2 linked regions of the Bombyx mori genome follow. The protein of the gene in region 2 purifies or fractionates together with the protein of the main gene of each other region. This does not show direct contact. Links are inferred from orthologs where the notes say so. Each region holds a gene or a part of one and is shown on either strand. Other genes may lie near its edges. The genes, in order: multifunctional methyltransferase subunit TRM112-like protein and putative methyltransferase WBSCR22-like protein.

Evidence for each region.
Region 1: the proteins of putative methyltransferase WBSCR22-like protein (region 2) and multifunctional methyltransferase subunit TRM112-like protein purify together in Homo sapiens (affinity purification with mass spectrometry; 5 studies listed by BioGRID and IntAct, counting the BioPlex papers as one, with this or other methods). This does not show direct contact. The link is inferred for Bombyx mori from reciprocal best matches to the Homo sapiens genes BUD23 and TRMT112.

Annotation. Positions count from the first base shown.
Region 1 is NC_085117.1:12,726,364-12,734,002, reverse strand, and holds multifunctional methyltransferase subunit TRM112-like protein, read left to right. Parts: upstream 1-3,123; 5' UTR 3,124-3,309; coding exon 3,310-3,687; 3' UTR 3,688-4,052; downstream 4,053-7,639. Other genes in the region: DIS3-like exonuclease 2, read right to left, coding at 1-1,970; Uqcrc2 (ubiquinol-cytochrome c reductase core protein II), read right to left, coding at 7,130-7,213. UniProt on the Homo sapiens protein: Acts as an activator of both rRNA/tRNA and protein methyltransferases. Together with methyltransferase BUD23, methylates the N(7) position of a guanine in 18S rRNA.
Region 2 is NC_085122.1:5,819,002-5,827,968, forward strand, and holds putative methyltransferase WBSCR22-like protein, read right to left. Parts: upstream 5,092-8,967; 5' UTR 4,873-5,091; coding exon of another isoform or gene 4,834-4,872; intron 4,753-4,833; coding exon of another isoform or gene 4,746-4,752; coding exon 4,711-4,745; intron 3,832-4,710; coding exon 3,653-3,831; intron 3,164-3,652; coding exon 2,970-3,163; intron 2,903-2,969; coding exon 2,713-2,902; intron 2,598-2,712; coding exon 2,410-2,597; 3' UTR 2,358-2,409; downstream 1-2,357. Other genes in the region: ATP synthase subunit C lysine N-methyltransferase, read left to right, coding at 1,761-2,357.

The sequences.
Region 1 (7,639 bases), on a different chromosome or scaffold from region 2:
TTGCCTAAAATTTTTATTGATTTGTGCACATCTTTGTAATCAAAACCATTGTACATTTCTGGAAATTTTATTTGAGCATCCTCTTTGTCATCAAGAACATCTTGAGCATGTTCATATGCCAACTGACAGCATGAATTTATAACAGTCCTAGCAAACCTGTAACTAATAACTTTAGCATCCTTGGTCATTTCCCAAAAAACAGAGAAAGCTAGTTTATCTACACCAGGGAATAGAGAACAAAGCATACACAAATCATCTGGAAGCATGTGGTAAGCAGTTTCTACCAAATATATTGTTGTAGCTTTTTCTGCAACTTTCACATCAAGCGGAGTGTTTTCATTTAAAAAATATGTAACATCAGAAATATGGACTCCGATCTCATAATTACCATTTTCTAGTTCCTTGCAAGAGACTGCATCATCAATATCACGGCAATTAAATGGATCAATACTAAAGATACATAACATCCGACAGTCTTCTCTCTTTGCTATTTCTTCATCGGGAATTGTAAAGTCAAGTTGAGGATACAAATCCTTGTATTCAGAGCCAAAAGCAGTAACATCTAAATCATTTTCTGCTAATATTGCTTTTGTTTCAGTGACCATGTCTCCTGATTTACCAATATTACCCATAATTTTTCCTACAGCAAACCTTGTATCAGACCAATCTATTATTTTTGCAACAAACAATGTGTTTTCATATTTCTTGGCATCTTCATAAAAATTATCTGGCCATGAAGTAAATGGTATATTTATTCTTGGTACTCTGTGATCTCGAGGCACGAACATAGCTTTTTGTCTATTTTTGTCATGCATTAGTTTGAGTGAACCAATACAAGTTCTAGTATGAACTTTTTCCTTGATAAAAACTACTTTCCCTCTTTTTTGTTCAGGATTAGTAACGTTTTCTTCAGGTTCATTTTCAACTAATTGTACTATTACTACATCTCCTTCCATTGCACGATTTCTATTCTTAATACCGTCTATTAATATATCTTGTTGACTCCGGTCTTGACTTGAAACATATGAATGTTGATATTGTTTTGGATTTATCCTCAGAACACCTTCAATAAGCATATTGTTCTTTAAACCTTTCTCAACATCTTCTCCAGAAAGGTATGCATCAAATTTCTTGTCACCATTTACAAGAGTTTTAGTTAAGCAATTGTTTTCTGAATTATGCCTCAGTCTGAGCTGTCCAATTTGTATTGTACCAGTTTGTCTTGAAAATGATGGATTCAATAAGGGGTGTTGCAATGCATTCTCTATGAACCTTGGAGTGCTAGGTTCAGAATGAATAAATGTAGAATTTGGAATACAAACAGGTTCTGATCTCTGTCCTGATAATATTAATGGAGTGATAGGTACACTAGCAACATGCTCTGGGCTTTGTAAAATATCTCTCATGTGTTGGATATTCTGCATATATTGATATTGTGGATGGTGACACAGATTTTCTAAATACCTAGAGCTGGTACTTGCATACAATGGTGTAATCTGTTGGGTAAAATATTCATGCACAGAGAATGTACTATTTCTAGGAGACCCAAAATAGTTAAATAAATACTGTGAATTTTGTACTCTGTTTGTGTTGTTAAAGTTATTCACTGGTACCGTAGGTATTTCCAACTTTTTTAGTCGTTCCTTTTTCTTGGCGTTTTTTCCTTTCGACGGGGTAGTTGGGGTTACCTGTTCTGTCTCCCCGTTATCACTGTCGCTTTCAATTTGCAAATTCTGGCACTTATTGGAAACATCGTTAATTGATGAATTGTTGAATACCATGGTAGGTACTGTAACTTCTGATCTTTGTTTTTTTTTTGATTTTTTGGGTGTTCGTTTAGGTGAATCGACTTTGTTTTCATTTATTGCTTTGTCACTTGATGTTTTTTGTGGTACTGACGACGTGGAGACCACCGATGTTGTTGGTTCACTGCATGCTGCATCCATTCTTAATGAGTTATGGCTTGACATGGCGCAAAAAAATAAAAACTGTAAAATACTTATAAGCAGGTATGGAGTATTACAAGCCTGCTGCTTTTGTCTATAAATGTGAATGATTACATTTCTCCTCAATATTTACAATAATTTTACACAGAATTATACTCAATTTAATATTTTTAAATATTTATGTACGGCCAACGGCTACAAGACCTTATATCCATTCTAATTTAAAAAATGTAAATATATTTTTTTTCAACAATTTAATATAAATGCTTATCCCTTCCGAATGCAAAGAAAGGTCAAGCTAGTAAATTGACCGTCAGACAGAGCCCACTGAGTTTCTCGCCAGTTCTTTTCAGAGAATCTCGATTCTGGTCCAGTGGTAGATTCAGAGAAGCACCGCTCTAACTAAAGCTAGTGCTAGTAAGTTCTCCATGCTGAGCCTACACGTTCGGTGAACCTGGCTTATCGCCTCGAGGCGCAAAAATTTTGTACCAGTTTTCGAAAAGTAGTAACAATAATAGACTAATAGATTACATTGAAGAGACTCGGGCAAATTACTATTAATCCATTATTTATTTTATTACTTTCTTATTATACTCTGCGCGAGTATCACCTCGAGCTACGACTGAAAAGGTGAACAAGTTACAACTTTTTCGCGGGAACGCGAGGAGTGAAGTTGTGTGATTTGTTTTATTTTGTCTATTTAGTGTTTCTTCAGATTGAAATGCATAATAACGGTGGTTTATTAACTGTTTAGTATCTTTGAAAGTGCACAAATGTGGGAAAATAAAATAAAGCCGCTGGACGTAACTTATCGGGATCATCCAAAACGTCCATTGAAAAAATCTCAGTAAACGACCAACATTTTACTGAGATTATATTTCATCTCATCTCATTTCATTTGATTTCATCCCAGTTGATTAATGTCTCAAATTCTTCATTTCACTCCATATCATCATTTTTCATAAAAATACCCATATCATAATTATCATCTCATCTCATTTCAATTCATTTCATGCCATGCCATTAAATTAATCAGCTTCATTTCATTTCATAATATATTTCATAAAAAAAAAAAAATCTATAACAGACTAGGCTGTATGGTGTGATACCTTTGCCTTTCCATTTGGAAAAATAAAACTACCACTACTTACTGCTGTCAGGTCACTACTCACTACACAACTGAACAAAAACTAAACATAACCTCAAATATCTAATTATGCACGTAAAGTACATAATAACAAATATGTTTTAAGAAAATTCTACAAAAAAGTGCCAATAATCTTAATCGCTTGGTTCTACTCGTGAAAAGCTATTATTGTCAAGACTTCAATTCCTACTGAAGTTGCATAATACAAATATAATAATGAAACTAATTACCCACAATATGCTCACTTCGAAATGCTTGAAAGGTGTTGTGACTGGCTATCCTCTTGCAATTAACGCGACAGACATTAAAGTTAAAGAAGTCGATTTTAATCCTGAATTTATTAGTCGTGTAATACCAAAGCTGGATTGGGAAGTATTATGGGTGGCCGCTGATAGCATCGGCCACAGTGATGGTCTGCCAAGATCTTTAGAAAATAAGTATGATGAAAACGAAGAGTTTTTGAAGAAAGCTCATAAAGTCTTGTTAGAGGTGGAAGTTGAAGAGGGACACTTGACTTGTCCAGAATCTGGAAGACAATTTCCGATTTCTAAAGGAATTCCTAATATGCTATTAAATGAAGCTGAAGTGCAGTAGTTCACAATTTAGAGCCTGTACTAAAAATATTAGTAACAAATTTTTTATTTAAGCATTAATTTTATTGCAGTAACATTACATAGGATTGTTTTATTTTTTATGTAAAGAAGTGCTATGGTGCATGTAAATTTGTTTCATATTAAATATTTTAAGAAATGTACCATTACTTTATAATTTCTACAATATAATTTACTGTGAAAGATTTTTATGTAATCCTTGTATACTAAATTTTAAGTTGCTTAATAGGTAAAATCAGTATGAGGCTGCTTCAGGATTCTTGATAAATATTTGGGGAAAACTTTCTTACGCATATGTTGTATACTAAAAGTATCCTTTCAATAAAGAAAATATTGTTTTTCAATTTATATAATAACTTAACTGAATTATTGAAATGAGGTTATGTACTGTAAACGTGATAACATGTACAAAGCACTGAGGGCACCTTACTTAGAAAATACCAGTGTTCACAGTAGAAAAATGGTGACAATTTCTGACATTATATATTTCCCTATGATACGGTGATTGTATACTGTCAGTCAACGGAACGAATTTCGCCCCAGTAAGAGGACTGAACAGTCCTCGCAGTGTATATTGGAATATAGCCTTTACTGCACACTTTACTCTATTTAAAGCTGCTATATTAATTCAATTACCACTACCTGTACTAATACTATTTTAGTGAGCTTCAAACAATAACCTGCTGTATACAGGCGGACACTTTTTCAACTTGTACCTTAAACAAGATGGTACTTCTTAGTTGTATCCTCAAGGACGTTAATACTGATAACTTCATACTAGTTTAAAAGCTAGGACACTATTGTAAGTAATTGAGACTTCGACCTGTAATAGTATAATTACATCTTTTATGGCTGTAATGGCTTTTAAATTAAATTATAAATGATAAGAATTATAGATTTGAAGCCAATCACATGACTGCTATAATCTACAAAATATAACTAAAATTAGTACATGAAAAGAAAGCTGTTACTCTAAACTCTGAGTATAATTACAGTGCGTTTGCATTATATACACTACCACTCAAAAGTTTGGAAATACTAGGGTAATTTAAATATAAACGTCATTAAAACACACAAGCCATTATTTATTACAATTAAATCTGAATGAAATCAAGCAGTAAAATATATATAGTGAAAATAAATAATAAAATAAAATACTTTTCATTAAATATTAGGAGCTAAAGTATGAAATTGCCCCTATTATTTGCCTCGTTCTTTGGATTAATTTAACAAAGTATTCGGAGTCAGAGTAACTTCTATTCACTTTGTAAATATTTCCACAATGTACTGAGAATGATTTTTTATTTTTGATACAAAATTTCTTTATTTCGTTTTAGCTCTAAGAACATCAGAGATAATTTTTTTGAATGTTTGGGGTCATTGTCTTATCGGGGGCTAAGCTTTCCTTTATGGTCCGTCGATTTGGAAGTTCACAATTTTTTTGTAGATAGCAATCATAAATAGAAAGCTTTTTGCAAATTTTCAAGTTGCGGAAACTCACGGTTTACGAAATATAATTTTTTAAAGTTTCCCTAAGTACAAATTTGAAAAATCGTCAAGGTACCACTGAAGTAGGAAACCTTTATGTGTATAATCTATGCCTAGGTTTAAGCAAGGTACACGTCAAAGTTGACGTTTCGAGTTTCATTCACGGTAAACATGTATTTTATTACAGAAATATATTTTAATTTAATCACATTTTGTTCTAATTAATGTGCACAGTAATTGTTGCTGTATTAAGCAACTATATTGACTTTTGTACACAAAATGTAACGAAATAATGTTTACACTATGAAACGGAACGTGAGCTAACGCATTTTGTTATAGCGTCTTTATAACTGTCTGTATTAAAATATATTTTTAAATAAGATTAAATATAACAATAATAAAATTGCTCGTGTTTTAGTAATAAAATTTTCGATATCCGAAAAATATCCAAAACCGAATCAGAGCATCCCACTTTCCACCTGGTCTTGTCTGCCCTACCCCTAGTGTATATAAAAAACCGGAGGCGCGGAGGGAGAGCACTCCTCGGCCGCTGTGACGGAACATGGGAACAGCGCGAGGGGGAGCGGCTGAGGCTGGTCCATCAAGCCGAAGCTGCGAGCGGAGTGTGAGTGACCGTGCTTCGGCACGCAAGGGCGGAAGGGCTGCTCTTCCCGCAGCGTCGGAGATAAGGCGGTTTCTTAGCTCCCTTCGAGTTTAAGTAAATAATGCTATTTTAATCTAAACAATTAACAATGGATATCTTTATCACCATGGGGATGTGGGCTGGTGATGGTGCAGGGGATAAGCCCTTATACCCCTCCCTCCTCGACTCAAAATTGATAGACCATAATTGGAATTCTAACCCTATGTTGACTAAATAGTGGTAATCTAAACTCAAAACATTAACCGTGAAAATCTTCATAACCATGGGGTTCCGCGGGGTGGGGATGATGCAGGGGGTAAACCCTTATCCCCTCCCTACCCCCACCCCCACCCAAAAATCGACGGATCATAATGGAGCCCAGGCAAACGTCGATTTGGGTTCGATAATATTTTAACGAACGATCTTCGTGTTTTGGCGTAGATTTGGTACATCCAGCTTACTTATTTCTGGTCTTGTTCTAAATTTGGATCTTGATCTGGTCTGTTCAAAAGAAATCTGTTTCCTTCCTTTTTGCCATTTGATGTGCCGGTAAACTGTTGTAATTATCACACGAAATCACCAAATACACTGAACAGATTATTGGGTACATTATCATAGATTATGCACTTAATATTTGAGATACTATTTACTACGATGAGGCCCGCGACGCATGCTCTAATCAGAAAATAGTTTTAGTAAAAAATAGCTTGGTTAATATTATTCTTTGTCAAAACATATAATCAGTATTAAAATTAGGTATTATTTATCTTTTTTATTCTTCCATTCTTTCCATTTATTCCCAAGGCATCATTTAAAAGTGAAGCTATATTTTACTATTGTTGGGGAATAACTGGAAAATATTTTTGAAAATAAAATTTTCTGCGGCCCTCCAGCTTTTGTAGTAAACTTAATTCGCCTACAAAGGTATGCAGTTTAAACAGTCCTAGTCTAGAAAGTGTCTTAAACTCTCTTTTGTCCCGAAAAACCTTTTTTTCCTACGTAAGTTGATGGTCTTGAGAGATCGGCCGAGTAAGTAGGTAAATAATTATTTAGTTGTTTTGAAACAATTTTTTAACCAATCCAGTGGCTTCAGAGATTCTTTCAAAGATACTAAAAACTTGCCTCCTTATACATTACTTCAGACATCTGGTACTCATGAAGCATCTCCAAAATAATTTTTATAATTAACAAATGATTTATTAAAACAATAAATTACAATCCATATTGTTTCTAATTTGTTGATTTATTAAGGTAGGTAACAGATTAAGGAATAAATTAAGATTTAATACCGAGTTTACAATTCATCTATATAGGGAACAAATGCTAAGTTTCCAACAGCGCCAATTGAAATCTTGTTCTTTGCCGCATTCGAGACAGCCTGGAAAATAAAAGTATAGTGTATAACATATGTGTGTACCCACCCAAGTTTAGTTCTGTATGTAGATAAAATGGCTAAGGTGAAACAATTTCAATTTCTCCTCAGTCAATGGATTCTCTAAATTAATTATTTAGTAGCTATTGACGAGCTTTAGCTTTTTTCTTCTTTATTGCCTTTGTAGGCAAACGAGCATACGGCCCACCTGATGGTAAGTGGTCACCGTCGCTCATGGACGTCAACAATACCAGGGGCAGAGCCGCTGCCTACCAAACCTGCTAGTATTATGATTTAAAAAAAAAGAAGAAAAAAACCATTTTGTTGAACAAATAGTCGGCCACAAAAAAAGAGAATTTGATAAGTACATAAAATTAATCTAAATCTTCAGGCGAGATTCATTTTTGTTGAATTTTGATCTTTGGGCACAAT
Region 2 (8,967 bases):
TTTTTATTTCGAGCTCTCCAATTTTCTAACCATCCTCTCTATCACAAACTAAAAAAATTGTCAGAAAAAGTTAAATGCTCTTCCTATTGGTCCCATAAATCTCCACCGTGCTTAGTTATTAGTTTCCATAAATTTATTTCATTACAAGCTCCCACTCATCGCTCACAGTTTCTACCTATATTTTCCGTCAGCTACGAAGCTCTTGTCAATCTTCCTAAAATAAATTTTAATTTTGAAATCCTGAAGAACCACCAAAACGCTAACACTGATATCAAATTTGTAATGGATAGAGATTGGGCAGACTGGCACTATATATACTGCGATGCGTCTAAACACGCACTCTCTGACACAGTTGGAGTAGCTGTTTATCATCAGCAGTATAATATTCACCAAAAGATAAAACTACCCCCCGAAACAACAGTGTTTTCTGGAGAATGTTTTGGTATTCTAAAATCTCTAGAATATATTCTACTTGCAAAACTTAACAAATCCATCATCTTCACAGACTCGAAAAGTGCTCTACAAGCTTTGCAGAAATTTCCTTTCAAATCTTGTTTAACTTGTGTTTATATAATGGACTGTCGACAGCTACTTCTAAATTGTAAGCTCAAAGGTTATGATGTTCTTTTTGTGTGGATACCTGGCCATCACAAAATACTTGGGAATGAAATAGCTGATAAATTTGCGAGAGATGCGATAAATAGTGGTGATATGTCACCTTACAAAAATGTTGTGTCTGACCTTCTTTCCACTCCTAAAGACCATTTACTGAGGTCTTGGGAAAGTATTTGGAATAGCTCTAGCTGCCATAAAGGCCGTTATTATAAAAATATACAGCCACGAATTCCTCTAAAAATGTGGTTCTGTAAAATTAGTCTATGTAAGCTTGCAACCTCCTGTATTATAAGAATGCGATTGGGACATGTTTGTACAGCTTCTCACCTTGCTAAACTCGGTGTCATTAACAACAGTTTGTGTGCTTGTGGCGTTGGTGAGGAGGACTTGAATCACATTTTCTTTGGATGCCTCCTACGTGACTGTTCCTCATTCATAAATTCCCTGATAAACCTCCGGGTTCCTCTTCCCACATCAATCCCTACATTATTAAGTACTATAAATTCTGATTTGTATAACTTGATATCAAATTTTTTATTTAGTAATAATATTAAAATGTAAACAGTTTTAAAATATAATATTCTTTTTATTTATACCCAATCACTATATATTATAAACTCTTAGGCATTATTATATATTATTATCCTATTACATACATATCCTTTCCAAATTTCGAACCTTCCAATTGATTCCTAAATAAAACTGGTTTCCCTACCTTTTCCACACTAGTAGTGGCAAATGCACAAACCGTGCGAGTCAAAATATAAAAAAAAAAAAAAAAAAAAGTGCACCCATAGTGTGACAGTACTGACAGTGTCACAATCACAAGTGTTGATAACACCTAATGTCATACGTCACATTATTATATTAAAAATTTTAATAGTAGTAGTACATAACATAACTAGTACATAACTATTAAGAATACATAAAAGGGTAGGGCTCAAATGAAGAGTTTAAGAGCTTAAATCCAACAGTAAAAATAAAGCAAAAAAAAAAGTTGTTTTAAAAATGAAAAGGATTGTTAATTATGATGTATAAGTCGTCAGTAGGTACTGGAATTCTTGGAGGTTTGCGGGACAATATTATGAAATAGGTTATTCACATTTCTTAAATTTTAAGTGTATTATCTATGATCACATTGCATAATGGAATCGGAATGTATAGAGGATAAAATTTATAATGTTCCGTCAAAGCTGTCACTCGTTGGTAAAATATTAATATACACAACGGGCGGTTTAGCCATTGGTGTCAGCATCGTTTGTATACCTTTTGTGTCTCCAGCAGCAAGGAAAATTTGTTTGCCTTATGTACCTGCAACAACAGAACAGTTACTAGGAGTAACGAAGGCATTAAAGGGCAGAAGAGGCAGACTAATAGATATTGGATCTGGTGATGGAAGAATAGTAATAACAGCAGCCAAAATGGGTTTTAAAGCAGATGGAGTAGAACTAAATCCATTCCTTGTTTATTACTCACGAATATCAGCCTTATTGAATCAAAAATATTATGATACCAGGTTTTATCATTGTGATTTATGGAAATTCAACCTCAAACCTTACAATAATGTTGTAATATTTGGTGTGGAGCAAATGATGCACGATATAGAAAATAAAATTTTAGATGAAACGCAAGAGCGCACAGTAGTGGTCGCGTGTCGATTCCCATTACCAACAATGGTGCCTGTAGAAACTATTGGACATGGTGTAGACACTGTTTGGAAATATGAAGTAAAAATCAGTTAAGTTGCAACAAATTTATTTACTTAGATATACAAAATAATAAACAGTTTTTATTTTAGAATCGACCACTTCTTTTTCTTCCTGTGTATTTAGTGTCAGGTTTTGTAATTTTGCCCTGTTTCCTTCTTCGTTCTTTCTTCTCCAAAATCCAGTCTTTTGAGTTCTTTATAGGTTTTCCTCTTATCCCTTTTGTAGCTTCTCTTTTAGCATATTTAACTTGAAGACTGTCTGGTTCTTCAGTACCTGTAATACAAATTTTGATTTTATTATATAAAAAAGTGGGTTTCATCATTTTTATTAGCATCACACTATAGTATTATTTTAATGTGATATAATTTTATGATATATACAACATTACCTAAAGCCTGAGGTAAAGGACCAACGCCACCAGTCATTAAAACTAAAAAGAACTTCTTTGCTTTGGCAGAATTTGGATAGTCAATTACAACTCCTCCATAAAAGCCAGCTTTCATTGCCTGTGTCGTTAGGAGTTCTAATTGCTTCTCATTCTCAGGGTAAAATTGGAAGACAGCTCGAGCAGACCTTGACTGAAAAAAATAATAATTGAGTTTTTGTATTGAATAATAAATAATACCGTTTTCATAGTTAACTTACCAAACTTGAATATAAAGTGGTGAAGAATTTGTTTAGTCTTTTCACTGGATTATGAGTTTTCTTATCAGCATTAAATAACCATTGTATAGCTGATACGGATACTGCTCCATCAAAGCAACCTGCTCTAAACGGGACACCTTCACCCATATCAGCCAGAACTAAACCACCTTCAGTGTCTCTCTCTACAGCAACATCTACAACATAGACATATTATATATAGTGTAATTTAAGAACCAAAATACTTTTTTGGGCTTTAGGAAACAAGGATATATATCAAAAGGTGAAAGGCTATTCTGTTTATGTGACATTACAAATGCTATTTATTTGGTATTAGTATCTATATTTCAATATTTTTAGTTGAACATCAATTATGTTTACTACTTTCAAATAGCTGAAGAAGCTGTTTTATTATGATTAATTTTCCAAAACTTAAATTTAAAATGGTTCTTCTATAAAATTACAAAAATGTCACTTCAACCCAATAGCCTTTTGGGTTTTAATTTTGTCAGGTTATAATTTGTTCTCTTTCAGTTATTAACAATCTTTATAAGTAGTGAAAACTGAGAAAAAATACAACACCTAAGGTACAAGTCATGTGTCTTATTATGTCTCATTATGTGTCCAATTAAGTCTAGTATCGACTAGGCTACTTTCTGTGGCCAGATGACAAAAATATTTTTTACCAAGCATTGAAGATGATATGTCCATCCCAATCCACATATGTCCATTTTCTTCTAGCACTGTACCAGATAATCCTGAACCACATCCAATATCCAACAACAAGCAAGATGAATCTTCCGGTAATAGAAGTAATTCTAAGCATCTCTCAGTCATTTGTCCTTGGATTTCTATGATCCTGGAGCTAAAATAATCAAACACAATTTTTTCTCAAAAAGAGTTAATAAAAAAAGGAAAGACATTTTTGGAATTAGGAGGGAAGCATTCAGATTGTTCATAATCCAGATCTCACAAATAGTTAGGTTTTTCCTGGATTGTACAATAAACCCCATGCTCAAATGAATTTGGCAAATATTGTCCAACTAGTATCATTAACATTGTAGTACAAGACAATCATTCTTAGCATTTCTACATTTATCGCTTCCTACCTATTCTAGTAACCTTGAGGAGTTATTCCAGATTCACTGAATTAGTAGGTGAGCTCACCAGTCCCAAACTACGACGTTAACACTAGGGTTAGTGTTCGTGTAAGTGCTAGGGTTAGCAAGAGCAGTGCTTCGCAGAATCTACCACCGGATCACAAACGCAACCCACTGAGAAGATCTGGCAAGAAACTCAGTGGGCTATGTCTGTGGGTTAATTTTGTCGCCGAGCCCTTCGTCGTAAGCGACGGGTTCGTCGAGAAACAGGTACTTGTTTTTACTTGAAGTTTGAAAATATCTTTAGTTGCAGTTTAAATATAAAACATTACTGTAGTAAATAAGTAACAGGGGCCATTTAATTAACATTAGATGGGTTGATTGCCTGCAATAATGGTTTCTATTGTAAACTTTATACAGCACTTTACTATTTTAAAATGTAGTATTAAGCCCCCCGAATTCCCACACTAATGAAACTGTAGGACGTTAGACATGGGAAGGTTGTGGATTTTTGTGGTTGTGCTCATTCACCACTATCGCCCACTTACATTATATTTTGGGTTACAACAATTCAGAGACAATTCCATTTGTGCCACCATTAGCAAAAAGGTTAGTATTCGCAATACCTTGTTACTTTTACTTACGTACTTTTGTGTATACTTTCTAGCCTCTTCATCATTATAAAACTAGAACAAAAATAATTCGAATAACAATAGTGCCTTTTTGTTCAAATTTGAAACAATATATTTACATTAGCTTATACTCACAACTTCAGGCGGTGCCTGGTGTTCTGGTCTTTTTGACATCTTACATCAATATAAGGATCACTTTCAAATCAATCAAATTTAAATGAACCTAGTGTTTAGTAAGTATCTACATATGTATGTGCTCGTTAATAAAATGATTTTATGAACTAGGAAGTATGTAGCTTTTTAAAATAATAAGTGTAAAAACTACTTATCTACGGCTTGCTCCACAGACTTAAATATATTTAGTATTGAGTCATTTTACCACTTATAATATGTAGCATTTGACGTTGTCACTTGTCAGTTTTATCTTCATAGTGAGGTAGCCTGCTTAAAAACATCGTTTAATGTGAATAAATCGATACGAACTTGAAACATATTATAATGTGAATTTTTATAATCATCAGGCGAATCCCTGTTCCATTATTATTTTTTCTTTCGTAAATTTAAAGAGCAAAATAAGACAAATACATAATTTAACAAAAATATTACATTTATTCAGTTGAACTATCAGAACTGTTATTAGTATTGTCATCTTCATCACTGCTGTCAGCACTCCGAGATATTATTAATTAATTTTCAATAATATTGTCTATTCTCACATCTCGTTCAAAATCGTATAAAATTATTTTCTTTGTTTTCTCTACGACTTTTCTCCAGTCTTCTATAGTGACTTCTGCACACGCAATTTGTAGCAGTCATCATTTTAGCAGTACTGAAGGGTGGTTCAGTATTGTTCTGCACTGCATGAATATCAAGGTTACTGATATTCATTAATAAAATAACACATTTATTATTACATTTTTATTGTCATTATGGTTTTTAGACAAGGTAACATTTATATTAATATGACAATTTTTTAAATCTAATCAGGGAATTTTTATGCGTGGAATGAGCGCGCCGGCGCCGGCGCGCTCATTCCACGGTTCATCTCAAATATTAAGTGTATTATCTATGGTTCATCCGTTATTAAGCTGACCAAATAGAATAGTCTAATGGATTAGAATATACATACTTTTATGTAATCAAATAAAATAAAATGAACTATTATATATTTTGTCAACATAATAAGATTCATTTTTTTTTTTAAATAAAATATTGCTCTGTTACTTTTCAATGTAACGATTACCTGGCAAATTTTCCTATCATTACAATAAAAAAAATCATTTTATCATTTTGTGTGTTGTAAAATGGCTACTATAGACAGTAATTGTACGGTTTCCAGGTATGTAAGGTGATAGCTGCCCTTTATAAATAAAACAAATGAGGTCCAATTTTACTCCGTATATTGTCACAAGTGTTTGCGGCGTCACAAGTGTCGGGCCGTCTATGTACGACTGACTATAAGCGATGGACAACCGCATGCGCTACTCCTTACAGTATTAGTGATGGTGATGGCCCACCTACTCCAAAAAACCAAAGACTCAGGAAGGTGAAAATAAAAAAAAATATATAAACAGAAATTTCGTTCTGAATGGTTAACTAACAAGGACTTTTCATCTTGGTTAAGTGAGCACCCGACTGATACACATAAAGCTACATTCACCTTATGTGCTGTTAGGTAATATGACAGCTGAGGTAAATGTCTTAAAACGACACAATGAGGGTACAAACCGACAACATAAGGATACAATTAAAGGGATTAAGCAACAGCCTTCAATAGCGAGTGAGCTGCTCGAAGTGGTATCCGGAGGGCGACCCTTGAAGGGCACCGCTGTGCTTTTCGTAGGATTGATGTGAATGCGCCACTTCCAGAACCACTGTCCCGTGGTGGTTACTGCAATCTTGAGTCGCCGATGCAATAGCGACTTCTTCCTACACGAGTAGTAGATACGAAGGGTATATCATTGATATAAAAACTAAATAATAACGGGGAGAGCGCGGATTCCGGCCGTCAGATGATGGGGACGAGAGCGAGTTCCCTCTACTCGATAATTGAGTGCCCAAAGATTTTCCTTGTTTTCTCCCCATTCACCGCTCAATCTCAATCACCCCGTTTTACGGTACTAGGTACCGACCTACTTAAAATCTACAGATTAATAAATTAGATATGTACTGTACTTAAATTAGGGATGGTCTGTAACCTTAGAGACCTGTTCCTGATTCAGTAGCCTGTTACAAAATAACAGACTGTTCCATGGAGTTAAAAAGAAAAATACTAACTTTTTTTTTTTTTTTCCTTCCTAAGCTGATAGCCTTAGGGGCTATTTCAGCGTAACCGTGGCTAGTAGGTGATCTTACGGGGCTCAAACCTGATGACAAATACTATCTCTATGGACTGTTCCAATATAACAGCCCGTTTCAATATAACAGCCTGTTCCAATATAAAGCCTGTTCTAATATAACAGCCTGTTCCAATATAACAGCCTGTTGTGTTGTTACAGGTTTAATGATGTTTTAAGTAGAACATGTTCCACATAAAGGATCAGTTATACATATGAAATGGTTTTAATACATTTTCTGAAATGAAAACAATCCTTCATGCTTTCTCAGGCTTAGGACTGACAACTTGATTTATTAATATTAATGATATATGAAACTAGTTTTGTTTGTTTTGTTTTGAAATGTGCATGCTTCTTAATATTATTGCTATCTTTTTCTATTACAATAAGCGAAAGGAAAAAAGAACATGTTACAAACTGTTTGGGAACAGGATGTATATGCTATATTTTTCTTTCTGTACGTGAAAAGGGAAAAGAACTTGTTCCAAACTGTTTTGTTTCTGGCTGTATGCTGTGGAATAGAACAACGCAACATATGGAATATTGTGGAACAGTTCTTTCGGTCTATAGACAACAGTTCCAAGTTTTTTTATATAGACGAACCTGTTCCGTTTGACTGTTCCGATATATACGCCTCACCCCTACATTTTTTTTTTTTTTTTTGTCAGGAGGAAATCGCCGGACTTCCGCCCTTCACTGGGGATGGAGGGCGAGGCATGTCGGAGTCGAACCGACTAAAACCTCCTGTCTCTCAACAACCAACGTCCAAACCTCGCATGAGACAAAACTCATGAAAAGGCAAGGGGGGGAAAATTTGGCCCAAACCAAAGGTTTGGCCTTTGGAAACCCAAGCCGTTGGACGTAACTTCCCGGGATCCTCTAAAAAGTGCACTGAAAAAATCTCAGTAAACGACCACCATTTTACTAATATATTTCATCCTATATCATCTCATCTCATTTCATTTAATTTCATCCCAGTTGATCAATGTCTCAAATTCTTTATTTCATTTCACTCCATATTATCATTTTTCATAAAAAATGTCCCATATCATATCATATCATCTCATTTCAATTAATTTCATTTCAATGTTTCATATTAATCAGCTTCATTTCATTTCAAAATATATATAAAAGATTACGCTGTATGGTGTAATACCTTTGCCTTTCCATTTGGAAAAATAAAACTATAGTATTTTTATCATGGAGTTAATATGTACCTACAACTGGAGTGCTGTCTAATGCCGAGAAATCGGTCTCGAAAGAGAATACTTTTTGGTCGCGGTGTCCTTGTCTAATGTGGTGACCATATATAATTTAATTATAGGACAAAATTATACACATGCATCAGTTTTGAATTTACCTTAAGTAATTCTGTGTAACCCTATGTAAATACAAAACACGTGCTTGCAACCTTTTATTTATGTAAATTCAATTCTAAACATTGCTTCGTCGTCATGGTGATTTTTTTCGACGGTTTTTTTTGGAAATTGCTGCGTTGTCGAAAATCTAGCACTGAGTTTTATTATAAACATCATTACCTCAGTTCTATTACTTAAACTTCCACAAACTCATGTTTAACGTCCGAATACTCAACCGCGACTTAAATAATATATTATGTTGAACTTAATTACGCAATTCCTACTTTAATGTACTGGCTAAGTGGGCCGTGCAAATTAATATTTGACACACTGAGTGAGACACTGAACAGACATGGTCTGCGCATATCGGGTGCTCTTTTCCTACATTCACATCTTTAATTGATTTAAAATTGCTTGTATTTTTACTTCTGTGCTATTTTCATGACACGTGTATATTAGGTCTACTAGTTACATTTTAGGAAATAAAACACAATGGGTAATAAAATGAAATGAACTGAAATTCATTTATTTGTTATATGTAGACAATTAAATAACTCTTAAATGACAAGTCAATA